Xenopus tropicalis: one gene and its partners. The protein of the gene in region 4 interacts with the protein of the main gene of each other region in a pairwise test. Links are inferred from orthologs where the notes say so. Each region holds a gene or a part of one and is shown on either strand. Other genes may lie near its edges.

Evidence for each region.
Region 1: the proteins of card9 (region 4) and kiaa0408 interact in a two-hybrid assay, tested with the Homo sapiens proteins (2 studies listed by BioGRID and IntAct). The two-hybrid records come from large-scale screens. The link is inferred for Xenopus tropicalis from reciprocal best matches to the Homo sapiens genes CARD9 and KIAA0408.
Region 2: the proteins of card9 (region 4) and tfip11 interact in binary tests that used the Homo sapiens proteins (3 or more experiments, as listed by UniProt). The two-hybrid records come from large-scale screens. The link is inferred for Xenopus tropicalis from reciprocal best matches to the Homo sapiens genes CARD9 and TFIP11.
Region 3: the proteins of card9 (region 4) and cdca7l interact in binary tests that used the Homo sapiens proteins (3 or more experiments, as listed by UniProt). The link is inferred for Xenopus tropicalis from reciprocal best matches to the Homo sapiens genes CARD9 and CDCA7L.
Region 5: the proteins of card9 (region 4) and meox2 interact in binary tests that used the Homo sapiens proteins (3 or more experiments, as listed by UniProt). The two-hybrid records come from large-scale screens. The link is inferred for Xenopus tropicalis from reciprocal best matches to the Homo sapiens genes CARD9 and MEOX2.
Region 6: the proteins of card9 (region 4) and dual specificity protein phosphatase 13 interact in binary tests that used the Homo sapiens proteins (3 or more experiments, as listed by UniProt). The two-hybrid records come from large-scale screens. The link is inferred for Xenopus tropicalis from reciprocal best matches to the Homo sapiens genes CARD9 and DUSP13B.
Region 7: the proteins of card9 (region 4) and tceanc interact in binary tests that used the Homo sapiens proteins (3 or more experiments, as listed by UniProt). The two-hybrid records come from large-scale screens. The link is inferred for Xenopus tropicalis from reciprocal best matches to the Homo sapiens genes CARD9 and TCEANC.

Annotation. Positions count from the first base shown.
Region 1 is NC_030681.2:67,958,476-67,962,241, forward strand, and holds part of kiaa0408 (uncharacterized protein KIAA0408 homolog), read right to left. Parts: intron 817-3,766; coding exon 1-816.
Region 2 is NC_030680.2:15,107,575-15,112,520, forward strand, and holds the start of tfip11 (tuftelin-interacting protein 11), read left to right. Parts: upstream 1-1,630; 5' UTR 1,631-1,742; intron 1,743-1,916; exon of another isoform or gene 1,917-2,214; intron 2,215-3,080; 5' UTR 3,081-3,085; coding exon 3,086-3,285; intron 3,286-3,403; coding exon 3,404-3,554; intron 3,555-4,106; coding exon 4,107-4,263; intron 4,264-4,946. UniProt on the Homo sapiens protein: Involved in pre-mRNA splicing, specifically in spliceosome disassembly during late-stage splicing events. Intron turnover seems to proceed through reactions in two lariat-intron associated complexes termed Intron Large (IL) and Intron Small (IS).
Region 3 is NC_030682.2:39,660,168-39,665,095, reverse strand, and holds the start of cdca7l (cell division cycle-associated 7-like protein), read left to right. Parts: upstream 1-1,886; 5' UTR 1,887-1,992; coding exon 1,993-2,016; intron 2,017-4,928. UniProt on the Homo sapiens protein: Plays a role in transcriptional regulation as a repressor that inhibits monoamine oxidase A (MAOA) activity and gene expression by binding to the promoter.
Region 4 is NC_030684.2:6,411,838-6,416,600, forward strand, and holds the start of card9 (caspase recruitment domain-containing protein 9), read right to left. Parts: upstream 2,958-4,763; 5' UTR 2,780-2,957; intron 2,588-2,779; exon of another isoform or gene 2,404-2,587; intron 1,506-2,403; 5' UTR 1,272-1,505; intron 1-1,271. UniProt on the Homo sapiens protein: Adapter protein that plays a key role in innate immune response against fungi by forming signaling complexes downstream of C-type lectin receptors.
Region 5 is NC_030682.2:36,890,787-36,895,518, reverse strand, and holds the start of meox2 (homeobox protein MOX-2), read left to right. Parts: upstream 1-1,630; 5' UTR 1,631-1,780; coding exon 1,781-2,285; intron 2,286-4,732. UniProt on the Homo sapiens protein: Mesodermal transcription factor that plays a key role in somitogenesis and somitogenesis and limb muscle differentiation. Required during limb development for normal appendicular muscle formation and for the normal regulation of myogenic genes.
Region 6 is NC_030683.2:55,074,881-55,079,034, forward strand, and holds part of dual specificity protein phosphatase 13, read left to right. Parts: intron 1-1,953; 5' UTR 1,954-1,954; coding exon 1,955-2,079; intron 2,080-4,154. UniProt on the Homo sapiens protein: Dual specificity phosphatase that dephosphorylates MAPK8/JNK and MAPK14/p38, but not MAPK1/ERK2, in vitro. Exhibits intrinsic phosphatase activity towards both phospho-seryl/threonyl and -tyrosyl residues, with similar specific activities in vitro.
Region 7 is NC_030678.2:105,786,961-105,789,788, reverse strand, and holds the end of tceanc (transcription elongation factor A N-terminal and central domain-containing protein), read left to right. Parts: intron 1-447; 5' UTR 448-449; coding exon 450-1,499; 3' UTR 1,500-1,990; downstream 1,991-2,828.

The DNA of each region.
Region 1 (3,766 bases), on a different chromosome or scaffold from region 4:
GTTTCACTCTGTATTGCACTGTTTTCATAGAATTGCACAGTTATTTCAGCCTCATTATCTGGTTTAATATTGGTCCGAGCAGTGCTCAAACTGTGATCCAGCGAGTGAATGCAAGACTCCTGCTTTGCAGGCTGGTACATGTCATGTAATGACTCATGGAAAACTTTGCTTCCCTTTTCTGTCTTAAAAACAATTCTATTAAATTCATCAATCTTTGCTGCTAGCTTTCCATTCGTCATTGCCATTTCAGGTCTGAGTTCAGATGCATTAGGATAGTGCTCTGACATTATTTCATCAGAACAGAAGTTGTTAGAGCATGGCAACCTAGAAACTGAAGTGGTGGAATTCCATGCATCATTTTTAAAAACTAAACTGTCATAATCTGCAATGTTGCCCAGGAAAGGTTTTACTGGGTTTGATTTTTCAAGTGTTCCAATGTCATATAAACAACTTACATGGCACAGTCCATTGTCATTGTTTCTCACAGCATCAGTGTGGTTAGTCGCCACATGATAATGATCATTGTTTACATTCGAGCACGTAGAAGGACCAACCTTATATGTATCAAACGACAAGAAACTTGCAATGTTGCTTGAGAAATATGAAGGTGGAAATGATGGCTCCTGCGAAATCAAGATTGTGCTACCTATTTCTGACTGCTGACTGAGAGAATTACACATCACAGGGCTGTTGACATAATTCTCATTGGACCTTTCATTACTTTTTGACATTTTTGAAGAAGACAGGTTCTTATCTGTTTTGGCCACTTTAGCTTCTGCATCATAGTTCCCACAAGCAGCTGAACTGGCACCCATCCTATTGAAAGGAAAATGAAACAGAAGAAAATACATTTGATAGTGAATCTATAGTAATAGGATAAAGTCACTGTTCTTTAATACTCTTTTTAGTCTTTGTGTTGCTCATAAGCTAGGACCATGTTCACCTATTATCTCACCTATCTTTAGCTCACCTATTATCTAGTCTTAAAACAAAGGGGCTGATTTACTAACCCACGAATCCAACCCGAATTGGAAAAGTTCCGACTTGAAAACGAACATTTTGCGACTTTTTCGTATGTTTTGCGATTTTTTTGGATTCTGTACGAATTTTTCGGATCCAATACGATTTTTGCGTAAAAACGCGAGTTTTTCGTATCCATTACGAAAGTTGCGTAAAAAGTTGCGCATTTTGCGTAGCGTTAAAACTTACGCGAAAAGTTGCGCATTTTTCGCGTAAGTTTTAACGCTACGCAAAATGCGCAACTTTTTACGCAACTTTCGTAATGGATAGGAAAACTCGCGTTTTTACGCAAAAATCGTATTGGATCCGAAAAATTCGTAAAGAATCCGAAAAAATCGCAAAACATACGAAAAAATCGCAAAGTACCGATCATTACGAAAAAAACGCAATCGGACTCCATTCGACCCGTTCGTGGGTAAGTAAATCAGCCCCAAAGTCTTCTGATAAATTTATATAAAGATACTTCACAGTCTGACTTCAGTTGTCTTTATGCTTATTTTCTAAAAACACTGCATGCATATCAGTGAGTGTAACCAGAAACTATTTAAGGGAGCAGCATGGTGGCTTAGTGAGTACCAGTTCTGCCTTGTAGCACTGGCGTCCTGAGTTTGATACCGGCTTGGGGACTATCTGCAAGAAATGTGTATGTTTGTCTATGTTAGCATGGTTTCCTACCACATTTAAAAAAAAATACAGGCAGCTTAAAAAAACTTGACCCTAGTGTGTGCAAATATGACTTTAGATTGTAAGCTCCACGGGGGCTTAAAATTATATATAAGGCTAAACCTGCCTGATGCAATGGCTCCGAGTGCAGGCACAAGGAAAGTCTGATGCTAATGTAGGGGCTGATTCTCAGCCTGCATTAATCTGTAGGCCAAGAATCAGCCTGTTTAGATTTTAGTAATTATATAAAGGGGACCTGCCACTCAGACATAAAGAAGCTGTATACTGAGAGCCCCTTCCAAATTAAAAATAAAACCCAATATCTATTTTTCATATCCATAAAATCCATACCTGTTATAAGCTATAAAAATCTCAACTGTCATATATTGCCTGCCCTGCCTTTAGGCATAGCATTCACTTTCACTTTTATTTCTACACTTGCCAGATGTCACTGCTCTCCTCACATTCCCTCTTTCTACTTGCTGTGCATAATTTTTAGCCTGTGAATGGGGATGTGCCTAAGGTACCTCATTCTAGTGCATACATTACATATTGGGATCATACAAAGTTTGCGTTGATAACAGTTTTCACAAAATGTTGCCTGCCTGTATGCTCAAACTGTGCATGTTCCAAAATAATGAAAGAGACCAGATTTAAATAATATATGTATAATAAGAAATGTTTATTTTGCTCAACTAACACTATAAAAAAGATTTGAAAATATTTCTTAGGGTGGTTGGTCCCCTTTTAGAATAGGCTGCATTGGACTTTAGCTTGTTCTGCTTCCTGTTCAAAATACTTCTATTATTAATGCCGATATTATATGCATTCAGTAGGACAGGAGCTGTGTACGGTGATGCTGTTTGTCATCAGCTGATGGTAGAAAGCTAATTAGTGTGGTTCCCCTGTATGTAACTGGCATTTAATCCAAATACAAAGCCAGCATTTATAAATCTAGCCTACAGCACAGCCATGCTTTGTCTATGCTTGTTTGCAGCTGAAAGAAGCAAGAAAGGAAAATAAGAGAACAAAGTTGACCTTATTTACTCTGCGAAACATATTTATGGGTAGATATTGATCATTTTTTTAAAAGATGTTTTCGCTTGAATTTAGCTATGAGAGAAACATAACCATTAACATGTTTTTCTAAATACAGTACAAAGGCTCCTTTTCTAAATGCTGACCGCAAATCAGGCCAAGCAATCTCTTTCTTAATGTAAAAATTAAGGATAAGAAAATATTTGGCAGCATGTTCAGCCTCTAGGGAAAACTGAGACTGATGATTTATGTCATGTGATCATCTCTTGAACATCTTGGAATCCTGTCATTTAGGTGATAATAATGTTCTGTTTTGTATTGGCAATATCTGTATAAAAATAAAAACAGGATAACATCTGGCCATGAAGTTCTGTTGCCTACTCAGTATTACTTTATGCTATATAGGAACTTATGGGTTTATTTCTCAATTTTCGAGTTTGTGAACTGAACTCGTGTTTAAAAAAAAAAATTGAATGCTTGCTTAGTTATAAATAAACCAAGATTTCAGACTTTTGGTTCCAAGCCCATAATGCAGTCCATCTTTTACTCATGCCCGCCCTTAATAATAACATAAATAACATTTACTATATTGCCATAATAAGTAATCTTAATGTAATTCCAGGAGTATCAATGCAATTCAGCCATTTACCCTAAGTCATATATAAATATATTTCCCTCATCATTCTGTGCCTTTCTATCAAACCCCTAGAAGTAGCAGCCCCACTTTTAGGAATATATAATATATAATTATGCTCCCTTTACTTCTGTTACTTAAGAAAGATAATAATAGTAGGTTCATAATTAGTGGTTGTCAAGACTTGAAGCAAAAATACCTCTATAAACAATTCACCATTTTGCCTCCAAATATATCGAGACACATGACTGGAGCATGGCACAGAATGTGTTTTAGTGGATATTTTTATTAAGTAATGGGATATTAAGTAACTTGTCCAAGGTCACCGGAGCAAATGTTACTGCCCAGTGTATTATCCTATTTGGTACTTCTCATAAACCAGCTATGGTAAAGGAAATGTCATAGACAGTA
Region 2 (4,946 bases), on a different chromosome or scaffold from region 4:
ATAGGAAAAGCTGTTCTGTAACATACCGATAGTTAACAAAGGAAAACAACCAATTAAAGAAATTAATTCAATTGTTTCGCTATTAACAAACTACATTAAGTGATTCAGATCCCCACACACTGTGAGCCTGGCACTGCCCTTAGGGGCACAGATTCGCCACTCTGCGTGGGAAAACAATCCCTGCCCATCGCTTCTTTCCACTTGCTTGCATATTAAACTAGCCCCTAGTAACCAAGCCCCTAGTAACCAAGCCCCTAGCATTCCAATCCTGCCCATCTGATTATTACACAACCCCAAGCTTGCAGAACCCCACTTGCTTGCATATTAAACTAGCCCCTAGTAACCAAGCCCCTAGCCCCTAGTAACCAAGCCCCTAGCCCCTAGCATTCCAATCCTGCCCGTCTGATTATTACACAACCCCAAGCTTGCAGAACCCCACTTGCTTGCTTATTAAACTAGCCCCTAGTAACCAAGCCCCTAGCAACCAAGTCCCTAGCCCCTAGTAACCAACCCCCCTAGCCCCTAGTAACCAAACCCCCTAGCCCCTAGTAACCAAGCACCTAGCCCCTAGCATTCCAATCCTGCCCGTCTGATTATTACACAACCCCAAGCTTGCAGAACCCCACTTGCTTGCTTATTAAACTAGCCCCTAGTAACCAAGCCCCCAGTAACCAAGCCCCTAGTAACCAAGCCCCTAGTAACCAAACCCCCTAGCCCCTAGTAACCAAGCACCTAGCCCCTAGCATTCCAATCCTGCCCGTCTGATTATTACACAACCCCAAGCTTGCAGAACCCCACTTGCTTGCTTATTAAATTAGCCCCTAGTAACCAAGCCCCCAGTAACCAAGCCCCTAGTAACCAAACCCCCTAGCCCCTAGTAACCAAGCACCTAGCCCCTAGCATTCCAATCCTGCCCGTCTGATTATTACACAACCCCAAGCTTGCAGAACCCCACTTGCTTGCTTATTAAACTAGCCCCTAGTAACCAAGCCCCTAGTAACCAAGCCCCTAGTAACCAAGCCCCTAGCAACCAAGCCCCTAGTAACCAAGCCCCCTAGCCCCTAGTAACCAAGCCCCTAGCATTCCAATCCTGCCCGTCTGATTATTACACAACCCCAAGCTTGCAGAACCCCACTTGCTTGCTTATTTAACTAGCCCCTAGTAACCAAGCCCCTAGTAACCAAGCCCCTAGCCCCTAGTAACCAAGCACCTAGCCCCTAGCATTCCAATCCTGCCCGTCTGATTATTACACAACCCCAAGCTTACGGAACCCCACTTGCTTGCTTATTAAACTAGCCCCTAGTAACCAAGCCCCTAGCAACCAAGCCCCCAGTAACCAAGCCCCTAGCCCCTAGTAACCAAGCCCCTAGCCCCTAGTAACCAAGCCCCTAGCCCCTAGTAACCAAACCCCCTAGCCCCTAGTAACCAAGCACCTAGCATTCCAATCCTGCCCGTCTGATTATTACACAACCCCAAGCTTGCAGAACCCCACTTGCTTGCATATTAAACTAGCCCCTAGCAACCAAGCCCCTAGCAACCAAGCCCCTAGCAACCAAGCCCCTAGCCCGTAGCCCCTATTCCAATCCTGCCAGTCTGATTCTGACACAACCCCACGCTTGTAGAACCCTACTTCCGGTGTCGCGTCCCGTACGCGTCATTGTGTAGGCGTGACCGGAAGTGTGCCGCGTACATTACTGCAGCCTGTGGAACCCGGGGCTCAGGTACCTGGAACTGGAATATCGGTAACTATGACGCCTCATGGAAGCTTATTTTAGCATTTAGCCCCACTTGTTTGTGTTTGGTATAACTAAGCCGGGGCTGCTCAGTGAATACGGGGTGTCTGGTTCCCGCACAGGAGCGGAATGGCCATGTGTACCTGTCTGGTGTCAATGGCTGCGCTATTAGTTTCTTCCCCATAACTGTTTGAGGGGATTATGGGAGTTGTAGTTTAAATCCTGACCTGTGATTATTGTCCCTTACTAAATGCTGTTACATTGATTGCTGCATTGTATCTGGGTAATGCATCCAGTTCCATAGCATGCCATTTACTCACTCCATGCCCCATTCCTCTCCCATCACTCACTTCAGCATGGCCCTCTTTAACCCCTTATGGGTCACTGTAAGTAGTAGTACTTCTCTGGTTGGCTGTGGCTACTGAGCCATTCTGGCCAATCAGGAGGGGGAACGCAGCCGACTGGACATATACTGTTCAAGGTTATTTCTATCACTTGTCTTTTTTTTTTTTTACCTAAATCCAAGGAAAAGGACATGGAATGTTTTGGGGGGCCCCAAGGCACAACCCTGTATAGCCATAAAGGGGTTGGGCACCTTTGAGTTATCTTTTAGTTTGATGTAGAGAGTGATATTCTGAGACAATTTGCAATTGGTCTTCATTTTTTTATTTGTAGTGTTTTAGTTATTTTATTTTCAGTTCAGAAGTTCTCCAGTTTGGAGTTTCACCAGCTATTTGGTTGCTAGGGCCAAGTTACTTTAGCAGCCAGGGAGTGGTTTGGACAAGAGACTGGTATATGAATAGGAGAAGGCCTTAATAGAAAATTAAAGTTACAAAAAGTAACAATAAAACTGTAGCCTCACAGAGCGATAGATTTCTGGCTGCCAGGGTCACTGACCCCCATTTAAGGGCTCTGGCACACAGGGAGATTAGTCGCCCGCAACAAAACTCCCTGTTCGCGGGCGACTAATCTCCCCGAGTTGCCGCCAGTTGCCATCCCACCGGCGACAATGTAAGTCGCCGGTGGGATGGCACACGCAGCGGCGCGATTTCGGGAAATCACTGAAGTTGCCTCGCAAGGCTTTTTCGTCGATTTCCCGAAATCGTGCTGCCGCGTGTGCCATCCCACCGGTGACTCGGGGAGATTAGTCGCCCGCGAACAGGGAGTTTTGTCGCGGGCGACTAATCTCCCCGTGTGCCAGAGCCCTAAAAAGTTGGAAGGAGAAGGCAAATATTTAATAAACTATAACAAATAAATAATGCAGACCAATTGAAAAGTTGCTTAGAATTGGCCATTCTATAAAACACAACAACTTATATATTGTTAAATATTGTTTCCCTCTCTCAGGCACCATGTCTATGTCGCACCTTTATGGCAAAGATGAGGACAGCGATGGAGTGGAAATGGAGAACTTTGAGATCACGGACTGGGACCTACAGAATGAGTTTAACCCCAACCGCAGAAAGCATTTCCAAACAAAAGAGGAGGCGACCTATGGGATGTGGGCAGAGCGGGACTCTGATGATGAGAGGCCAAGCTTTGGGGGGAAAAGGTTGGTGGGTCTTTAGATTGGTAGGAGGGGTCACTCAATAGTAATAGTCACCTTCTTGCGTGCAGTTAATGATACAGCACCACCCAATACGGACACCTTTCATTTTATTTCTTCATAGGTCTCGAGACTACTCGGCCCCTGTCAATTTTATCAGCGCTGGGATCCGTAAGCCTGCTGCAGAAGAAAAATCTGATAGCGATTCCGACAGTGAAACGCAAGCAAGGAGGGAAACTTTCCCAAAGGATTTTGAGGCAAAGAAGCTAAGGACGGTAGGATGAGTCTAAGGAGTGTTTGTACTTCCCAATAGTAATAGTCTGACAGGGTTAAAAGGGGTGTTCTTCTTTAAACCAACTTTTGGTTGCTATTCTAAAACAATTTGCAGTTGGTCTTCTTTTTTTTTTTATTATTATTTAGCTTTATATTCAGCACTTTTCCAGTTTGGAATTCTAACAGTTATATGGTTGCTATGAACCAACATAACCTAGCAACCAGTCAGTGGTTCAAATGAGAGACTGGAATAATAGCAGGAGTGGGTCTGAATAGAAAGATAAGTTTAAAAAAAAAAAAAAAAAAGTAATAACAGCGTAATTGTAGCCTCACAGAGCAATAGTTTCTTGCTGCCGGGGTCAGTGACCCTCTTTAAAAAAAATGAGGACCAATTGAAAAGTTGCTACGAACTTGCTCTTCTATAACCTACTTAAAATTAACTTAAGGACGAACCATCCATTTATAAGAGAGAGAACTATTATTGTAAGAAAGACACACTATATTCATTGTTTCATTCCAAAGCTTCAGTCAGTTTCAGTTTGTGTATTTTACAGGGTGGTAATTTCAAACCATCACAGAGGACATTTGCTGGAGGAATAAAGTCAAACACAGATTTTGGTTCTTGGGAGCGGCATACCAAGGGAATCGGCCAGAAACTTCTTCAGAAGATGGGTTATGTGCAAGGAAGAGGCCTGGGAAAGAATGCTCAAGGTATAACTGGGTTCTTTGGCCAGTGAGGTTAAATTAGAAGCTCTACTGAGGCAGGGGCTATTCTCAGATGGAAACGTGCAATAGTAGCTTTTATTATAATCTGACTGTAAGTATGTGAGAAAAATGTATTTTATAGCCAGGATATTCTTTAAAGGATAAGAAAACTTCAAAATAAGTTGATGAACATTTGCAATTTACATTCATAATTATTTTTTTAATGCCAAGATATTAAGGGATAAAGTATTGTTAAAGAGTTACTGACACCAGAAATGAAACCTTTTTTACATCAATCATAACATTGTCTTTGCATGAGCTTTATAATTTTGCCATAAAAGTATTTGCTGATGCTTTTACATTCCTTATCTGATCCCCCATGTTCTTCTGTGAGGGGGCTGCCATATTTGTGCAGCAGGAGGCCGTTAGCATTAGAAGCTATAACTGACAGGCTGAGAAGGGACAGTCAGGTTGGCAAAACAGTCAGGTTTAGGAACTTCAAGTAACAATTACATACAAAACCAGCCCTAACAGTGAAAAAAGATCAACATGACCTATAGGTAACTTTTTATGTAGATTCATAATTTGAAAAGTCATTTTTTCATGTCAGTATCACTTTAATAAGAATGCATTTTGTTACCACAGCTCCACCTGCTGGTCACTTTCTGAACATGAAGTAGTTGATAATG
Region 3 (4,928 bases), on a different chromosome or scaffold from region 4:
GTACGAAAAAGTCATGCAAATTCATGAAAATATTGCAGAAAACAGCAAAACACGCATAAAAACGTATTCGGACCTGTCGTGCTTTAATGAATGTGCCCCTATGTGTTGGGCATCTGTGCCAGCCAAAGGCAAACACAGCCTGGGAAGATCTGTGCCCCCAGTAGCTCCCCATCTTATTTTCTGCTGATTCACTGCACATGTTCTGTGCTGCCGTCACTTACTGAGCTTAGGAACCAACTTTCAATATATATTGTATATAAATGTAACAAAATTAGGCTAATTGGTAATTTAGACAGATTATTACTACATGGCAGCTCAGAAAACAGAGCATTTAGCATCAGAATTTAACAATCATCTCTGTAGCATCAGCTTATTTGACAGACAAACCTCATTTTCTGCTTGATAATTTGTGACGACACTTTAGCTGAGCTTCTCAACAGATACTTAGAGCACACTAAGCACAGACTGTCGCACTTTCCAAGATGGGGAGCTCCGGAGCTCAGGGTTGGACTGGGCCGCCGGGACACCAGGAAAAATCCCAGTGAGCCACGGCGGCCCAGACCCGACCCTTGCCGGCACTCCCCCTACCCGACCGCTCCTCCCCTAATGTGTTAAATTTTTACGCGCTTGGGGAAGGACGTTGGATGGGGGGCCCTGCGAGGGGGGTTGGGGCGAAGCTATACATTGTCTAATTTCTTTTAGGTTCTGTGCAATAAAAAATATCTTGTGTGCACATTTTTAGAAACAAATACTTGAGTGAGTGGGTCAGAAAAGTAATTTGTGTTTTCACTCAGATTTGTGCACCAAAATTTAGCCCTGGGAACACTATTGGGGAGTTCCTAAAGGCCCCAGAATGGAACAACTTGTTTAGGCCAATGACCCCCCCCTTTTTTTGTAACGTTTGTTTTTATTGATTTTTTACATGTTTCATTATCACATTTGTTTTCAAATTTTACATGCGTAACATTTTGTATATTAGGCACATTATCAGGCTTAATGTCCTTGTGATTGTTCAGAGTTATAGTATACAACAAAAAAGGAGAGGTGGGAAGGAGGAGGAAGGAGGAGGAAGGGTGAGGAAGGGGGAAAAGGGTGAGGGGGGGGGAAAGAGGAACAGTATAACAATTTACGCCCTAGGTCTCCATATTAAGTTAAACATTGTTAATAGGTTCAGTGTTTCCTTCACTTATTTATTGTTTTTAGATTGTTTACGGGAGTCCTACCCATAGCCTTGTGTTTGAGAGAGGGTCTTTATTTAGTATCCAGGTATCCCATATCTTTAGGTATAGCTGTTAATTTTCCAGTTGGTATTTAAGAGCTTTGATGGCGTGTATATATTCTGTTTTGTCCAGGACTTTCTTGATAGATAGCGAGTTCGCTTTCCATTGGGCTGCAATATGAATCCTAGTTGCCATGCATATATGTTGTGTGAGGTGTTGTGCGGGGTTGTTAAGGTTTAAAGTTTGTGTCTTAAGAGCATAATACTTTGTGGCATGGGGGAATGGTGTTAGGGTCACTGGGGAGTGCCCAAGAATCTGGCAGCCCCCAGTATTTTAAGATTCTTTCTCCATTGAGAACAAGGGACGGTTCAAAGGAAAAATGTACAAACCAGAGACTATAGCCGAAAATAAAGAAGAGGTGACAGCTCTGCCCAACAAATCAATGGGATAAACGATAACAAATACAATTGTGCACTAACACCGATTTACTCGTAGTTATAGTTAGTATTATAAAATTCATTCCTTTATACAGACTAGCACGTCTCTAAACTGATAATTATTAAGTTGCTTCTTTACAGAGAATAAGAAATTTGCCAAGAGTTGGCCAGGCAGGAGGCGGGGCTACATTGCGCTCCCTGTTGCTATAGGCTGCCAGCTGTGGGAGTGCTTTGCTATTGGACGCTGCACCCTTCCTGCACACTCGGGATCCCAGAGGGGCGGCTGTGTGCGAGTTATAGCGGGGCCTCGTTGTTCCTTGTGAAGCTGAATAAGCATGGAGCCGGCAGCAGGAGTGAAGGTGAGGTGGCTGCGTACACCTGCTCCCCATTCTGTGTAGCTGAGCTGTGAGAGTGCGAGTTGGTCGCACGTTGTGTCACTGTCGCTGCGTTTCTGCCTTTCGCGCCACCTTCACACGCTCGCTGCCCATTCATCAGATGTTCGCGGTGCATTTCGGGATATGAGCAGAGCGGCGGCTCCGGGTTACACTCTGCGCCTTGTTTCTATACTGATATACAGTTATATAAAGTTATATACAGCTATATACAGTTGTTATATACAGCGCTGGGAGCGCATTACCGCCCTGCCGCCTGCGTTATACCGAGTGCACTGCGGCTGGCGGGGGCTTCTGGGAGTTGTGTGGTTTCATGTTGTGGATTTCGTCAAAGACCTGGAAAATACTAGAGATGCAACTAAAGTGTTAATCACCTACCTTATAAATGTATTCTTATTTTTAGGACAAAAACTACTCAGGGGAGGAGGGAATTCCGCTGGCAGAATGTTACTGGCCCCACTGCTTGGGCATTGCTGCCTGGGCCGCTCTTATAGGAGATATGGGGGGGGGGGGGGGTCCCTAAAACTTCCTCACATGGGAGCGCACACCCTGTGCCCACAAGCCTGGTTCGAAACATAAACATGAAATAAATACAATAAGAATGGCCCCCTTACCACTGACATTGATTCATGCAGTGTAGTTACCATCAAGTACAAGGTGCTGTTTTATTTCTAGAGAAAAGGGAATCATTTTTAAAATGCTTAAATTTGACTATGGGAGGAATCTGGAGCTTTCTGGGCAAACAATGGAGTGAAAGCGGCGGGGGCGTAGGCACTGGTGGTTCGGGGGGCGTAGGCACTGGTGGTTCGGGGGGCGTAGGCACTGGTGGTTAAGGGGCCGCATTAACGAGCCGATGTGGTTCTCGATCTGACAGAAGAATCAAATCTGTGTGATGGAGACGTGGCTGATCTCAGGCCAGATGTTGGTTGGTGCCCATACAGGGGCAGGTAGGTCCAAAGGACCGCTATAGGCAGCTGAAATGGGCCTGTGTATGGCCACCGTTACACACCAGGGCTGTTACAGGATGGACACGCAACCCTGCATTTTCTATTAGTTTGTACACCGTGGAATGCAAGAAAACAACAAAAACAAATTTGTGTTTCACCTACACTTTGTGCCCACGCACCAGTGAGTACAAACTAATAGCAAATTTTGCATTTCTTCCTGTTCCAGCGCAGGGGACTGCAGGTAAGAACACTTGTGTAAGAGCCGTAGGACTGTTCATATCCCTTGGCTGCAATTACTCTAGCCCCCTGATCCATTTTGCTTCTCTCTGAAGCAAGGACATATCCCATTTTCCTCCCCATGTGGGTTTACCCACCACTTCTAAAGCTGGCCATACACACACCGATAATATCATACGAAACCTCGTTTCGTACGATATTCGGTGCGTGTATGGCAAGTCGTTGAGTTGACCGATATGGCAGGAGGCTGCTGATATCAGACGATTCGCCGATCGGCCAGTTAAAAGATTTTGATCGGGCGCCATAGAAGACACCTGACCAAAATCTGCCGTCAGGGCTGAATCGGCAGAAGGAGGTAGAAATCCTATTGTTTCTACCTCCTTATCTGCCTGTTTCAGCCCTGAAGGTTAGTGGCGGATCTGACAATCTTTCAATTGTGGCCACCTTAATAATAAAATATTTTACCCATCAGAGGTGCGGGCTAACAGACTGACTCCGGGAAGAGGAAAACAGTATGCTTTTTTTTTTTTTCCCCAAAAAAGCCCCTTAGTTACACTGGAAGGCCACGTTGGGGCACAAGTATGCGCATAGTGAGTGAATGCCCCAGCTTGCTCATCATGTGCTTTTGGTTCATGTAGGATTGGTTGATGTTTTCCCCATTTAGAAAATTAAGCTGCCTGTCAATAATTTGTGGTAACCTCGGTTTTCTATATGTGAGCATAAAAATGGCCCTTTGTAAGGCACTGGGGCCATTACCATAGCAGTTGATTGCTATTTTATATACACTATTCTGCCTAGCTATGTAAACTGAATTACCTATGCCCCACCACCAACTAGTAACTGGGTTACCTATGCCCCACCACCAACTAGTAACTGGGTTACCTATGCCCCACCACCAACTAGTAACTGGGTTACCTATGCCCCACCACCAACTAGTAACTGGGTTACCTATGCCCCACCACCAACTAGTAACTGGGTTACCTATGCCCCACCACCAACTAGTAACTGGGTTACCTATGCCCCACCACCAACTAGTAACTGGGTTACCTATGCCCCACCACCAACTAGTAACTGAGTTACCTATGCCCCACCACCAGCTAGTAACTGAGTTACCAATGCCCCACCACCAGCTAGTAACTGAGTTACCAATGCCCCACCACCAGCTAGTAACTGAGTTACCAATGCCCCACCACCAGCTAGTAACTGAGTTACCAATGCCCCACCACCAGCTAGTAACTGAGTTACCAATGCCCCACCACCAGCTAGTAACTGAGTTACCAATGCCCCACCACCAGCTAGTAACTGGGTTACCTATGCCCCACCACCAACTAGTAACTGAGTTTAGCACTCTTCTTAGGGTGAAGAGCTACTAGTAGCAGCTACTTGTCACAGCTACTAAAAAAGACAATGCTGCTCATTTACTGATAACGGTCTCTACCTGTGTTTTAGCAGAGGCAATTCTCAGTATTGTCTGTGGCAGGGGAATTTCTTGTATTTAGTAGCCACTCACAAGTAGCTGCTGATAGTAGCACAGTGTGTTTTCACTCTTAAATTGGTTCCATCTTTTCCTGTGGAGCATGTGAGAAGGTTCTCATGCGGTACAGCACATAGACGTGCTTGACTTGTTATAAGAATACAAGTATTTGGTAGGAAACTGGTGAACATATTTTAAGATTTGGTACAGTGATTTAAATT
Region 4 (4,763 bases):
AATTATATCCTTTACATGGTTCCAGCTACAAAATTCAATTCTGTACAGGGTCCAGCTACAAAATTCAATTCTGTACATGGTCCAGCTACAATATTCAATTCTGTATATGGTTCCATCTACAAAATAATATCCTGTACATGTTTCCAGCTACAAAATTCAATTCTGTACATGGTTCCATCTACAAACTTCAATCCTGTACATGGTTCCATCTACAAAATTCAATTCTGTACATGGTTCCAGGAACAAAATTCAATTCTGTACATGGTCCAGCTACAATATTCAATTCTGTACATGGTTCCAGCTACAAAATTCAATTCTGTACATGGTCCAGCTACAAAATTCAATTCTGTACATGGTCCAGCTACAAAATTCAATTCTGTACAGGGTCCAGCTACAAAATTCAATTCTGTACATGGTCCAGCTACAAAATTCAATTCTGTACGTGGTCCAGCTACAAAATTCAATTCTGTACATGGTCCAGCTACAAAATTCAATTCTGTACATGGTTCCAGCTACAAAATTCAATTCTGTACATGGTTCCAGCTACAAAATTCAATTCTGTACATGGTCCAGCTACAATATTCAATTCTGTATATGGTTCCATCTGCAAAATAATATCCTGTACATGTTTCCAGCTACAAAATTCAATCCTGTACATGGTTCCATCTACAAAATTCAATTCTGTACATGGTCCAGCTACAAAATTCAATTCTGTACGTGGTCCAGCTACAAAATTCAATTCTGTACATGGTCCAGCTACAAAATTCAATTCTGTACATGGTTCCAGCTACAAAATTCAATTCTGTACATGGTTCCAGCTACAAAATTCAATTCTGTACATGGTTCCAGCTACAATATTCAATTCTGTACATGGTCCAGCTACAAAATTCAATTCTGTACATGTTCCAGCTACAAAATTCAATTCTGTACATGGTCCAGCTCCAAAATGATATCCTGTACATGGTTTCAGCTACAAAATTATATCCTGTACATGGTTCCAGCTACAAAATTCAATTCTGTACATGGTCCAGCTACAAAATTCAATTCTGTACATGGTTCTGTACACAATTCTGCCTCCCTGCAGACTGGACCAGTGCTATAGAATGGGTTAGATAGGGTAAGTGCTAAATACACACAGAGCATAAGTTTCTAAATAGCCGCAGTAGTTACACTGAATTAAAGGCAAAGTTATATATATTTCGATAAGAAAGAGAGATCAGATTAACTCTCTGGGGCCTGGGAGAGGGGGTTACAATAAAGGGTAAGCTCACCTCTTCTAGAACAGTTGGTCCGTCTGGGAGCTTTCAGCCAAGCGTCTTACTCCGTCCCATGTCAGAGAGCAGGAATGGCAAGGAGAGAAGGAGAGGTGTAGAGCACGGGGGTTTGGGAGGGGCGAAGGCGGCTGTGTAGAAATGACTTCCTGGTCTGCACACAGTCGCATACCACAGTGCAGCTTCACAGTCTGCAGAGATCACTTCCCATTACTGGCTGCACGGCTGCTGCTGCTGGGGAGTCACATGGAGAGGCAGTGAGGTTAGGAACGTTAATGACCAATGAGCCACCGGGCAATAAACAGTGCAATATTCTAGTGATGCAGAGAGTGCTATTCTGAGAAAACTTGCAATTGGTCTTCGTTTTTTGTTATTTGTAGTTTCTTAGTTATTTCACTTTGCTCAGCAGCTCTCCAGTTTGGAGTTTCAGCAGCTATTTGGTTGCTAGGGTCCAAGTTATGTTAGCAACCAGGGAGTGGTTTGGATGAGAGATTGGTATATGAATAGGAGAGGGACTGAATAGAAAGATAAGGAATAAAAAGTAACAATAACAATAAAACTGGAGCCTCACAGAGCAATAGGTTTTGGCTGCCGGGGTCAGTGACCCTGTTGCTGGGGCTCCAATTACCTTAGCAACCAGGGTGTGGTTTGAATGAGAGACTGGTATATGAATAGGGGAGGGGCTGAATAGAAAGATAAGGAATAAAAAGTAACAATAACAATAAAACTGGAGCCTCACAGAGCAATTGTTTCCGGCTGCCGGGGTCAGTGACCCCCAAAGAGTTGGTAGAAGAAGGCAAATATTTAAACTATAGGAAATAAATAATGAAGACCAGTTGAAAAGTTGCTTAGAAATGGCCATTCTATAACATACACAAATTACCTTGAAGGTAAACCGCCCCTTTACGAGCAGCATTTGCCCAGCTCCCCCCCCTTTCCCAGGTATGGCAAGTCACCCTATCAGAATTCGGAGGAGAGCAAATATGCCACACAGCCCACATTCCACCCTGATTGGCATTCAGCCTCGGCATCCGGACACATTACACCACTCACGTGGCTAAAGAAGGTGTACTTTCCCTTTAATTGTAATTATTCATTTAATTGTAAGTAACGAGGGCAATTAGCGACTTACCTTACCCACGGGGGAAGGACTTATTCATCAAGAACGCACGGCCGGGTGGGGCAATTAATAGAGACCGGCGGATGCCTACAGTGCTCACTAATTGGCTTAATTGCACCCATTAGAGGTCAGCTGACCTCGCACACACTCGGCCAACCTGCTCCCAAAATCAACCCACACGGATACAGCCCCCCCCAATGTTATTGGCTACTCCCCCTTACTATTTAGCTCCTCCCCCAGCGGCTACGGTTTCTATATGTGCATACAGGACCCTCCAATCAGGATCCTGAAGGTTTTACCTTCCCATAATTCCAAGAGGAAATGGGTTTGGCCTTTACACAGAACACCTGGATCTGCTAAACAAAGGTGGGGGGGGGTCGTCACCAACCTGTGGCAGATACCGGACCCGTTGGGACATGTCGGTTGCCTGAGATCGTCACTGGGAATTCCACGTGCTCGGAACTGATTGGCTCGTGGCTTCCGGTGGCTGCATGTGGCTCGGCCGTTCCGCTGGGATTGGGGAGTCGGCGTTGGAGGCCGGGAGAGAAGAGAGGGGGGGGTCGGAGGAGTCTTCCGAGAGTGAAAATTGGGATAAAAGTGGATTAAAGGGGAAGGGGGGGGCAAAAGGTATTTGCCTTGGGTGTCAGTTTCGATTGCCCCAGTTCTGCTGTCAGTGACTTATTTTGGGGGTGTATGGATGGACAGATGTGCCCCCCTGTCCCCTCACACAGGCCATTGGGCTATCTGGGCAACCATGTATATGGCCCAATCACACCCGCCATGTCTATCCATTCAAGCTTTCCTCTCTATGATTTTATCTCTCCCCTCCTCGCACTAAATGACTCCCCTGGGGCACCATCTCCAGTATGCGCCACTGTCTCACCCCTGGCACCCTATACCCACAGCGAGCTACTCCCAAACATGGCAAAGCTGGGCATCCCATCTGATCTCCATATGGGAAGTGTCGTTCCAAGATGGCTGTACATGGGGGAGAGGCAAGGTGCAGGCGGTACATGGGGGAGAGGCAAGGTGCAGGCGGTACATGGGGGAGAGGCAAGGTGCAGGCGGTACATGGGGGAGAGGCAAGGTGCAGGCGGTACATGGGGGAGAGGCAAGGTGCAGGCGGTACATGGGGGAGAGGCAAGGTGCAGGCGGTACATGGGGGAGAGGCAAGGTGCAGGCGGTACATGGGGGAGAGGCAGGGTGCAGGCGGTACATGGGGGAGAGGCAAGGTGCAGGCGGTACATGGGGGAGAGGCAAGGTGCAGGCGGTACATGGGGGAGAGGCAAGGTGCAGGCGGTACATGGGGGAGAGGCAAGGTGCAGGCGGTACATGGGGGAGAGGCAAGGTGCAGGCGGTACATGGGGGAGAGGCAAGGTGCAGGCGGTACATGGGGGAGAGGCAAGGTGCAGGCGGTACATGGGGGAGAGGCAAGGTGCAGGCGGTACATGGGGGAGAGGCAAGGTGCAGGCGGTACATGGGGGAGAGGCAAGGTGCAGGCGGTACATGGGGGAGAGGCAAGGTGCAGGCGGTACATGGGGGAGAGGCAAGGTGCAGGCGGTACATGGGGGAGAGGCAAGGTGCAGGCGGTACATGGGGGAGAGGCAAGGTGCAGGCGGTACATGGGGGAGAGGCAAGGTGCAGGCGGTACATGGGGGAGAGGCAAGGTGCAGGCGGTACATGGGGGAGAGGCAAGGTGCAGGCGGTACATGGGGGAGAGGCAAGGTGCAGGCGGTACATGGGGGAGAGGCAAGGTGCAGGCGGTACATGGGGGAGAGGCAAGGTGCAGGCGGTACATGGGGGAGAGGCAAGGTGCAGGCGGTACATGGGGGAGAGGCAAGGTGCAGGCGGTACATGGGGGAGAGGCAAGGTGCAGGCGGTACATGGGGGAGAGGCAAGGTGCAGGCGGTACATGGGGGAGAGGCAAGGTGCAGGCGGTACATGGGGGAGAGGCAAACACAGGCTATGCACCATACAAACCCTACACACAGACACACACTGGGCACCATACAAACCCTACCCACAGACACACACTGGGCACCATACAAACCCTACCCACAGACACACACTGGGCACCATACAAACCCTACCCACAGACACACACTGGGCACCATACAAACCCTACCCACAGACACACACTGGGCACCATACAAACCCTACCCACAGACACACACTGGGCACCATACAAACCCTACACACAATCATAAATGACCCCTGCAGCCCATATGGAAGTCATATTTACTAAGCCAGTGCTACAGTTTATTCTCAAGGAGAGAGTGTCACTGTACAGAGTAGAATGGCTTGGGCCACTGCGCGCGGCTAGATCTGTCTCTTGGAGCTAGCGAGTCTGTGGGGCAGTGGGGCGGCCAGGC
Region 5 (4,732 bases), on a different chromosome or scaffold from region 4:
CTGTCCTGCTCCAGAGCCTACATAGACTGTGACTCCCCCCCGGCACCTAATTAAGTTCATCTTTGATCTGTATTTGGTTAGCAAAGACCTCCTCTAGTATTCTGATATCTCCCATGGCCATGTACAATTCTCTCAAAAGTAGAAGCACAGCACAAGCACTCTTAATTCCCCTGAATACATTGATGGGTTAAAATACAGTCCTAAGAAGAGCTAGGTCATGTAGAAAGCCCGTCTCAAATATATTTTAGATATAGCAACTTACATTATAACTTTTTGGCAACGCACAAGGTAACTGAGCAATTGGATTACAGGGTTTAAAACTCATTATAAAATTGCTAAAATTAATATAAAATAAAACACTACACTACATAAATTGGTATACTTACTATACAGGTGGATTGTATAGTCTTTTACAGACAGTGAATTGCTTAAATGGGATCTCTTATCCAGAAACCCATTATACAGAATGCTCTGAATGATGAGAAGGCCACCTCTCATAGACTGCACTTTAAGCAAATAATTCTAATTTTTAAAAGTGATTTATTCATTCTCTGTAATAATCAAACAGTGCCTTGTACTTGATGGTACCTAAGCTGTGTGAATCCATATTGGAAGCAAAACAATCCTTTTGGATTTATTTGACATTTAAATGATTTTTAGCAGGCTTGAGGTGTGGAGATTCAAATTACAGAAAGATCCCTTATCTGGAAAACCTCAAATCCCAAGCATTTTAGATAAAAGATTCTATGCTGGTACAACAAACTAGGCTTCTGTGCCATAGGTGAAGGGGTTAATGAGTATTTATGCTGATGAATAGAACAATATTGTGTTACTGTGCAGTAAGCAGTACCTGGAGCAGATTTTAGGGACAAACATCTGAAAAACACAGGTGTGACTTTTAGTTGGGAAAACACACATGTTTCCTATTTACTAAGAGGATGTTACATCTTCCTATTTCTGAAAACAATTTGAGGAGAACATTACTCAGGTTCTGCGTTACTCTCGCCAAAAGAGAACAATGTATACTGCTTACTTCCCGCTGTATAAAACTGCACATATATGTCCTATGTTGGTAAAAAGTTATAACCTAGTGCAGCTGGCAGGGGATTCTGGGAGTTATAGATTCAGTAACAGTAGGTTAATGGTGCCTTAGTTAAAGCTATTTATATTGTATCACATTCACTACACAGAACACTAAAAAAGAAATAAAATGGCATGTATTGCTTGGCATGGCACAATACTTTCCAATTGATTTCTTACGGTAGAATGAGCTTTTTGTCATTGTGTCAGTATATGAATTACTAAGACCTGCGTGCAGTTTCTCTATATCCATATTAGCAATGGGCAGAACCGGTTTAAGTTGTACATAGACAGTGCAGTGATGCTGTCGCAACTTGGAAGGATCTGTGAGTGCTAAAGTTTTGGAGAGAGTTTGTGGTCAGTACTGTGTTGCTAAGCCAGCCCCCAGCTCACATTACACACTATTTATATCCTCTCTTAGCTGTTCCCCCATTAAAGCAGCTCCTTGGGACCACCTTCTGTTGGCTTTAACCTCTCCTACTCTTGACATCTGAGCAGCTCTGCAAAAGCTCATCTTGGTCAGAGCAAACTGTTTAAGCACAGGAGACTGGCCACCAGGCTGAAGACCTGGATTATCTGATCTGTACTGAAAGTGTGCCGTTACTGTTTGGGAAAAATATCATTTTACAGTGAAAAGTGACAGCGTTGTGGAGTTTAATCCTGCCAGAATCTCAAGCCTGCAACTTGAAACTTGTATGCCATGGAACACACACTGTTTGGCTGCCTGCGCAGCCCCCATGCCACCTCTCAGGGCTTACACCCCTTTGCCCAGTCTTCTCTTGCCCTCCATGGAAGATCCGACCACATGTCCTATCCTGATTTATCCTCTTCTTCGTCCTCTTGCATATTAACTGGCTATCCCAATGAGGAGGGCATGTTTGGGAGCCAGCATCACAGAGGACATCATCACCATCATCACCATCATCATCATCACCAGCAACAACAGCACCAGACCTTGCAATCAAATTGGCACATTCCTCAGATGTCATCTCCTCCTGCCTCCACCAGACATAGCCTTTGCCTTCAGCAGGAATCTGGACCTCCAGATCTAAGTGGCAGCCCCTCTATTTTGTGTTCAAACACATCCAGCCTGGGCACTAACAGCTCAACGGGTGCAGCTTGTGTGACAGGGGACTATGGCAGACAGACCCTCTCCCCGGCAGAAGCAGAAAAGAGGACTGGCAAAAGAAAAAGTGACAGTTCAGGTAAGGATATTTGTGTTTACAATGTCTGAGCATGCAGCAAAAAGGAAATATATATTAGCTGGTAATTGTGATGCCTTGTATTGGATTAGCACTGCATTGCAGAAAGTGGCACAGCAGTGGTGCAAACCTAAGCAACTGTATGCCTAGGATATGCCATTAGCATCCATGCATACGGCAGCTTCTTCTGACAGTTCAAATTGAGCAGAGAGGGGTTTTTCTGTTGCTCAAAGCTTTGTGTTCGTACTCACTGGCAAATGCATTTAGCAGTGTAAAAAGTACTAGTTAGACACTTGCTAACTAGCATGTATACAATATTTCAGACATGTGCAGCTTGCTAACACTATAGGAATGTTATAAACGCTATGCAAGACATATTATAAGTAAAAAGTTTCTATTTAAACAGGAAATACTTGTATATTACATTACAATACGAACGGGCAGAAATAGTTCCCTCTTTTCAAGTCTTTCCTGGTGTATTCCTATGTAACAATCCTGTCAGTGTCAAAAGAATATCAAATTCCTTTAATAAGCAAGATTGAATCCAAGTATCATTTTTTCATTTGAAATTACAATCTATTTATTGACACAATCCTTCAGAAACCCGTGCTGCACTCCATCCTTATTCAGCCTGATCCAGTATCACTGCAGTATTATAACAAGAAATGGAGATCACTTGTTGACTCCTGTTTCTCTCAGCAGCCAAACTATTACAAATGCAATTTTATGGCAGATAAAAAGACAATTGGCACATTTAGACTGCCCATTCCCCCTTCCTGCAGGAATAAAATAGAGAGATTTCATCCCAGGGAGGGCAGCCTTTTTTGCCCGTCCCAGCAACTGCAGAAAGGTGTTAATTATATTATCAGCTAACACCTCCTCTGGGAAAGCCATATACACAGTCTGCATCAAATTAAGAGTTTAATTAACAAAGTGCAAAGTGATGGGTAATATTTGCTTTAATTCAGTCACATAAGCCACTTCAGTGAAATCAGTTCTTTTGAGCCTATTACATCACTTTCACTGATCAGAATCTCTGGCAGACCATAATAATATATACATTTTTAATCCGCTGCATATCAATAGTGATATGAATAACTACCAATCAATATCTAGAACTGAAAAAGTCAAATGATTCATAACAGACACCTTCCGTCATACCTGAAATACCCCAAACAGACATGAACACTAAAATCCTCTTTTCCATTTCCATTTAAAATGGCAAATTCTAGTAAAAGAAATACAATATACGTGATACTTGCATATCAGTAGCATAAGAAATGAACATAGTATATCACACTGAATATAAACATAACTGAAATATGTATTATATGTTCCAGTTCATTGGTGATTTCGATGCTTATCATATATATATTTATATATATAAAGTGGAGTAGCTTTATCCTGCTATTAGATGATGGCGAGAGATAAGTGCAACTATATTAACTCACTAATCAGACAAGTGGTCAGTGGAATAAGTGAAAGCGAAGTCATAATTGGAGATGACCTGCTTACCATTCCTAATTAAGTCTTATGAGATATTCTGATTGGGATGAATGGTTATTCAATAATTATAAGACATGAATGACAAATGAGTAATTCGTGACATATGTTTGACCTTATTTTTTCTTCCAGGCTTGGGGCTTTAAACAAGACAACTTTTCAAAAGTTATTATTCCAGTGTTTAATTAGTCTGTCTAGGCTTGCAATGCTTTTAAACCTCTCCCCCCCCTTCTGTTTTGTCTGTTTAGGGAAGATAACATTGGCAAGCGTTTAAAGAAAATAAATTACCAGGAAATCTATACCTAATCACAGAGCAAAAATGACAAACTAGCTTCATTAACCACGGTGTATCCAATAACTGGGTCCTGGCGAATTTGAGAAACTGCTGTTCTTTCTTTTAGAGTCACTTCACAAACAATTGTTTTAAGGGCATTTGGTTTCTGGAGAAATGAAAGGATGGCTTTGTGAAACAGTATACCTATCCAAATTATACAATCTAGAGTCAAAGTTAATGGCCCGGACCGTGTCCTATCCATTATATGTGCATATTTCGACATAGAAAAATCTAAACTATGGGCGTCTAGGGGTTGCTGAACTGCAATCATCAGCCTTTAGCCTTAGGCTGTGACGAGAATGCTGTAGTTTATCAAGAGCAGGAGGGCCCCAGGTTGGATGTCAGTCCTGTAACACTATTTTCCTGTATCTTTTAAGCCTCGTCTATCACTCAAGTTACCTTTTGTGGGGTGGGGGGGGGGGGGATTTGATGAGAATTTCACAAGCGATGTTAGAAAGCTGGTACTTATAATTAAGCCTACTTTGGCTAGTGATACCCTTCAGCAGACCACCAGAATAGCACCTAGAGAAAGTGCAATTAGAATAATCCTTATCATACCCTTTCAGCCATGTGCGCACTTCTGACTGTTGTGCATTCTGTCTGCAGAATCATG
Region 6 (4,154 bases), on a different chromosome or scaffold from region 4:
CAAGAAAATACAGGCTTATTGGAAATAGCGCTTAGTACAAGTTGATCCAGGGACTGGTCAGATTGCCATTTTAAAATCAAAAAGGATTTTTTCCCCTCTAAAGCAAAGAGAGGCTTCAGAAGGTTTTTTTGCTTTCCACTGGATCAACTAGCAGTTAGGCAGTTTTTATATAGACATAAAAGGTTAAACTTGAAAGACGTGTGTCTTTTTTTTAAAATGACACACAATGTTACTATGTAGTAGAAAAGCTTCTAATGGGAATAATAAAGCATGATATACTTGAATATCGTGCACAAAACAATACTTTGTCTTCATCGTTTTATGTACAATAGATCTTGCCAGACAAGTTTAATTGCCTTCTATGGGGATGCAAGCTGAAATTACTGCTTATTCAACATCTGCCCAGAGGAAAGTCCTGGACTTCATTATTTAAGTATGATGACTATTCTGATGAGAGTTGACAGATTTTCCAAAATGATTCCTTTTATTCCTTTGAAACTGCTTCCTTCTGCTCTTGAACAGGCTTACAGTACAATATTCTTCCACACATCTCTTACCCTGGCTCAAGTTAAAGAATCCATAGAGGCACAATGATGTGGTCATCATAGAATAAGGCCAGGCCATGGCCCTAAAATGCTTTAAAGTGATTCTTGCAGAATACAAAAGCTGTTAGGTTTAAAGCTCAAATTTAGGGATTCCCATATCACAATTCATCAGAGAACAATTACGTGGCTGGAACAGAAGATGATGAGGCTCCTTTGACAGTCATGGACTGTTGTAATGTCATGTAAGGCAATCCAAATCCATTTTTTTTGGGGGGGGGCGGGGTCAAAATCAGAAAATGAATGAACAGGACAGGAACCAGAATAAAGGAGTAACATTCAGAACCAGGAAAAAACAAACGTGATCTACAATTAACATTGAATGAGTTCAGAGCTGGGTATCATATAGGGTAGCTGATGGCAAACTCAGAGATCCTGTTGCAGTTAGTAACAGCTGAGCAACTCAAGGATGACATAGCACTGAACCAGAGAACCAACCATATCAGGGTCTAACTAGATGTTACTGGGCCCCACAGCAAGTTCAGTTTAGGGCCACAAAACATTGTAAAATGAACTAATTCTGCCACAATATATTGCCCTGTAAATAGGACCTTACTGGGCACCCTACCCTCTTGGGCCCCCTGCAAAGGCATGGTCTGCTTCCTTTGTAGCTATGCCCTTGACCCATATATAGAGAAGGGGTATTACAGACTCCATAGTTAACTGCTGTATTAAATGAGTTCAAAATGAGTTCAACAGAATCTGTCCTTATGCTAGTTTGCCTGGCTACTAGACAGAAAGAAAGACTTGGTTCTCACCGAGTTACCACTTCAGAAGTAATTTCCCCAAGCCAAATAGACAATGGTGTCTTCTCACCTTCTCATATTCTCTCTGGACAGTCCCTCTCTCCAACTGTGGGACCTCCTCGTTTTGGACGGGGATTGTTTTTACCACAGTACAGAACATTATTTTCTTTTCAATTTAAAGTATCATAGAACCAACCAACCACTACCCCTTTTCCCTCTAAATAAAGGAATAAATCATAGCCAAACACCTTTTTATTCTCTATTTTAAGGTCATCATGATATTATTGATAACTTTTGCTTGAAGTATCTATTTCAGAGTTTCAAATATTATTAAGGCACTTTTTTGGTATACTTAAAGCTTAAACTTAAACAAAACTGAAACACAAAACTGAAATCAATAACTTTAAATATAATGTAACCACCCACACAACTTAATGTAAAATTGTTCAGAGTGCTCTGCTGAGCAATTTTTCCTTTTATTTTCACATTTAAATATTATTAAACAATTATATGTTATATAATTATATATGAATGTTATATATGTTAAAGTTAAGCAAGACTACATCCATTAGCAAATTTAAATTGTTTTTTTTTTTTTATTTCAGAATGGCAGTCCATCAATCCCACTATGAACCATTACCTGTTTCTGACCTTCAGCGCGTTCTTTGGTGCCACAGAGGATCCACTGGTCATGTCAATCAAGTGTGGCCAAGACTCTACCTCGGAGATGCGTAAGATGACAGGGAGTAATAAGATTTGACACATTTTAAAGGCAAATAAACATTTTAAAGTGAGCGAGCTAGCTTTCCATTTAATTGTTTCATAGGTTAAACTGTGAAGGGTGCTACCATAGGCAAGCCAAGGCAGTGGTTTAAGGGCTACAGACTGAGGGTTAGTTTTTGGAATAACTAACATTTACTATTCTAAAACACTTATGAAACTGGTTGTCTGCTGTACTTACACAGTGGTGTTTTGCTTAATTTCTAATTCTTCCCTTATGAAAATGGTATTTTGCTTATTTCTTAATTTTTCCCTTATCAAAAAAAAAACTTCTTTATTAATTTAAAAATTGTACTTTTACCTGTCCAACTTTCCCCAAAGATTCAAAAGCCCAGCCCCACCCAAAATCCAGCATATTTTTGTCCTTCTGATTCTTTTTTTCATCACTTTGGAAGCAAATTTTCTTTTTAGTTTTGTGAAAACATTAGGCGTTCCAATATGGTGTCCTAGGGACTAGGGCCTTGGTCCTTGGAAATCTTTAATCCACTCAAGCATATTACATCATTTGTATGAAGTCCTTAGTGCTTCACATTCTGAATCGGGTAGAGCTGGTAGGGATGGCAAGGTTCCCATCTGCCCCGTTTAAGAAACTTTTCCTCGGAAAAACTGCCCTGGGAAATGTCTCTGGTATTTGAATCTAGCACTGGTGACACTGGCGATCTGTAAGAATAAGCTATTTTGGTCTGTAGGCATTCATTTCTTAAATTACAATTCAAAGCAGAGCTTTGGCATTGAAGAATCTGAAAGAGGCTGATTTTGGACCCTGCACAGATTCTTTAGCCCCAACATTGAACATAGTATTGAGAAGCGCAAACCTACAGACTGAGGTAGAGTAGAGCTACTCAGAAAATTGGTAAGAGGGAGTGAGTACAGGATTGCAGCTTTGCAATCTGAAGGCATGTCTGTAAAATAGGGAGGAAGGTTTGTCAGGGGTGGGAACAAAAATGGGCCTGGCTTAATATTTTTGCAGCAGCACACAACTATTTTTGAAGGCTCTGAAAATCTGGTAACCTTACATTGTGGTGCTATGGCTAATATTACTTGGTTGTTTTAGATCCATGTGTACTCCCCAGCCAGCTTACAGTATATCAGGTGGCAAATTCTGGTTCCCCCACTCATGTTCCTTACCAGCCAGGCAGTGCTGTATGTGCCCCCTACACCCCTGTGATGTTTATTGTTTTGAGAGTGAGGTGGCAGTTAGTTAAGGTGCTCATTGAGGTACAGGGGAACCATTTATGGTTTTTGAAGTATCAGGGGTGGATTGCTGTCAGCCTGGTGGTGTGGGGTGAGCAAACAGCTCTATGGCCACAAGATAATTAGTTAGGGTCTGCAGTTTATGGCCTTCTTTTCTTTTTCCCAAATATTGGGGCATACTTTTTTTTTCTTTGAATGGAAGAATTTAGGGTTCAAAGCCACTTGCCATCCTCCAAAGTCTGTCTTGCTGTTGATGTAAAAGGTAAAAAAAATTACCATTAATTTGCTAGCTCAAAAGTAGAGAAGGCTGTTTTAAGATTACCTTTAAATTGTTAAAGTGCAATGTGCAAAATTTATTTTTGGATGTAAGTTGCCATGTTTTTTTAACCAGAATGCAACACGCCCCTCCCAGAATTCCAGCAGAATTGTGATCCCTAATCGGCAGTTTGAGATGTAGTGAAATTCAGGTTACATAGGGACAACTACCAGCAAAGAAAGTTAAGTTGACCTGTAGAGATAGATACCTGCTAGTTGTCTAAATCTCCTCCATTAGAAGCCTCTTAGGCAAGGTATGACCTAGGATATCTATCTCCCAGGCAATCTGTGCTGCTCTTTCTAATCCGTCCTAACTATCTTACACCTTTGAGGATTACTATGGCATAAGCTTTATTGTCACTAATACCTTTTTTATTAGGTCTCCCTGATTCACTAAGAGCTGGTTCCCTTAGGACACAGTTTCTTTACTGGGATAATATGCTCCAGGCTTTCCAGTCCAAAAAGGAAGAGGAATGAGTTCCTTCCCATTTCATTAACTAAGGACATGAACTTGTCA
Region 7 (2,828 bases), on a different chromosome or scaffold from region 4:
ACTCTACTGCGCATGCGTGCGCTAGCAAAGCAGGAAGGAGGAAGCGCTGCAGCTACCCCGGGCTGGTGCTGTTCTCTCCTAACAGGGGCACCAGCCCGGGGTACAATGTAAGCGATTTAAGTCACTTGGGGATGCCTAACATTTTGGCACCCCCAAGTGACTTTGCCTTTCCTTCTCCTTTAAAAGAAAGTATATAGTTGGTGAAAGAAATAGCTTCTCCACTCTTCTTAGTAGCTGAGTAATATTAGTTTCTTTAAAGCCTTATAGCTTTAGGGCCCTATTTTATTGGGCAGCCTAAATGAATTGCATTTAAAAGTTCAGATATGTAAGGTCAGTTCATAAAAGAAAAACTTACTGAGAAAGAACTGAGAAACTTAAAAGACCAATATTTAAACACTTCAGCTAGAAAGAGATTTTTTATGTTGCCTTCTTTTTTCCCAACTGTAGAAATGCTACACAAAGACATTAATAAGGAGCTTGTTTCCAGAGCGTTAGAAGTGGAAAATCTTCTGGCTGAGAGAAAATATGAAGACCTTGCATTCCACCTTACTTACTTTGAAAAAGCAGAAGTCACATCAGGAATTCTGCAGGGTACTGATATTGTCAGAGTTGTTTACAGAGTTCTTAAGACCTGTCCAAGAGGAGCATTGAAATTAAAGGCAAAAGTTTTATTGTCCAAATGGAAAAAACTATATAGAAAGTGTTGCCATGAAACTAGCTGCATTTGTGAGCATTGTAGTAAAATATGTGAAAACAAAGAAGGTCCTGAGAAACTAGCTGTCGATATCCAAGATCAAGTTCACAACAGTGAACAAAAAATATTGATTAATAAAAGCACAAGTAGCCCATCTTCTTACAAATTCAATCTAAACAAATCCGATTCAAGCGCACAAGATTGTTATGGTAACCATGAGGAATCTGTTACAGACCATGAAGTTCCTAAGAAAGTAAACGCTGAAGATTTGGCTCTGAGAACCAAATGCACAGAGCTCTTATACCAAGCATTGAGAGAAGACTCGGAATGCCAAGAGAAACTGCAGAATTTAGCAAAGGCAATTGAAGAGAACATCTATAAAATACATGCTGGTAATACCAAGAAATACAGAAACTGCATCAGAAGCAAAATTTCCAATTTGAAAAATCCTAAAAATTCCCATTTAAAGATGCAGATTTTATCCAGAGCTTTAAGTCCTAAGGTATTTGCTGAGATGGGTGTTATGGAAATGGCCTGCGATGAATTAAGGAATCTTAGAGCAAACTACACTGAAACCTGTGTTCAGGAGCATCAGCTACCACAAGGAGTTGATGGTGTTCACACCAATAAGATCAGATGTCGGAGGTGTGATAAGTTTAACTGTACAGTAACAATGATATCTAGGGGGACACTTTTTCTTCCAGGTTGGGTACGAACAGGAAACCCTGATGAGGAGATGATGACATTTGTAATATGTAATGAATGTGGTGAACAATGGTACCACAATAGATGGGTCTGCCTATGAGTTTGCACATTGGACTTGAACTGTGTTTGGCTTTTTTTTTTCTAACAATAGGTAAATGATCAGGACATAAATTATTTATTTTAGTGAACAAGAACTAAGATTATTTTAAAACTTACTTTAAAACTGTTATGTCTACACTTATTTCAGAGTATAACCTTAAAAGTGTCTAATTTATTAATATACAACAGTGCCTCTTTGAATACCATAAGAATAAGAGTTAAAACAGTCTATCCTTGGCAAAGCATTTTTTTAACAAAACTGTCACAACAAATATCTATTTGTGATCAATATTTCATTCACTGAGAATTCCGTAGGGTACTGTGGCAGCCCCCTCAGACATGTATAATAAATGTAGAAATGGAGTATTATTATTATATCTATGGTGCCCAGACATTACTGATATGGGATTCTGTATTTAGTAAAAGTCGATTGAGATAGGGTCTTTGGGTCATTGCATTACAAGACAAAGCATATATTAATATTTAAAAAAACACCACCCATTTCCCAGGCCTCATAATTAATATCTGAATCATTTGTAACTAGATGTAACTAGAACAGTTATCCAGTAATCTGCTGGTCAGCAACTCAAAATCTGCTGGGTTACAACCTACCTTTTGGGCAGTACTGTGCTGTAAAAGGAATATTTAATTTTAATTTAAATAAACAATATACACTGTTAATATAAATTGGCAATATTACTATGAAAAGTAGAAGGTATAAAAAGACATAAAGAGATACATTTGCCACAGTAGACAAAAACAATTGAGCAAAAATCACACACTAAAGTAAATGTTTATTTGTTCAGATATCTGTTAGCTTTGGCTGAAAATCCTGCAGCCCAGTGATCACATTAGGCTGTGGGTGCCTATTTGCTCTGCACGGCTGCCCTCTTGTGATGCATTTAGATTTCCCTGAATTTTGCAGACCACTGCTGTTTTAAAGGCCAACATGCTGTCTTACCTGTATATGTCCAGCCTAAGGAATAAGTAAACTGTTAATAGACTGAGTTAATAGACCGGTATTAGCAGTATAAAACTGCTAATCTATTTAAAACTGCATGATGTAAGATATTAAACTGCAGAAGTTCTTATAAAATCACTCTGAGTAAGTGTAATTTTTAAATTTTTTAATAAGAAATGTAAAAGGAACACGGACAGTAAATTGAGCTTCAACTCACTCACTACTATGACCAAAGTGAACCTGCATAGTTGGATTTATATAATGAAGTTATGCCTTACTAAACCCCAGCCCCTTTTAATTGTCCTCCCTTCCTGCTACCTCCCTGCACAGTATATTCTGTTCAAAAGTGTTATTACATGTTAACCTTCA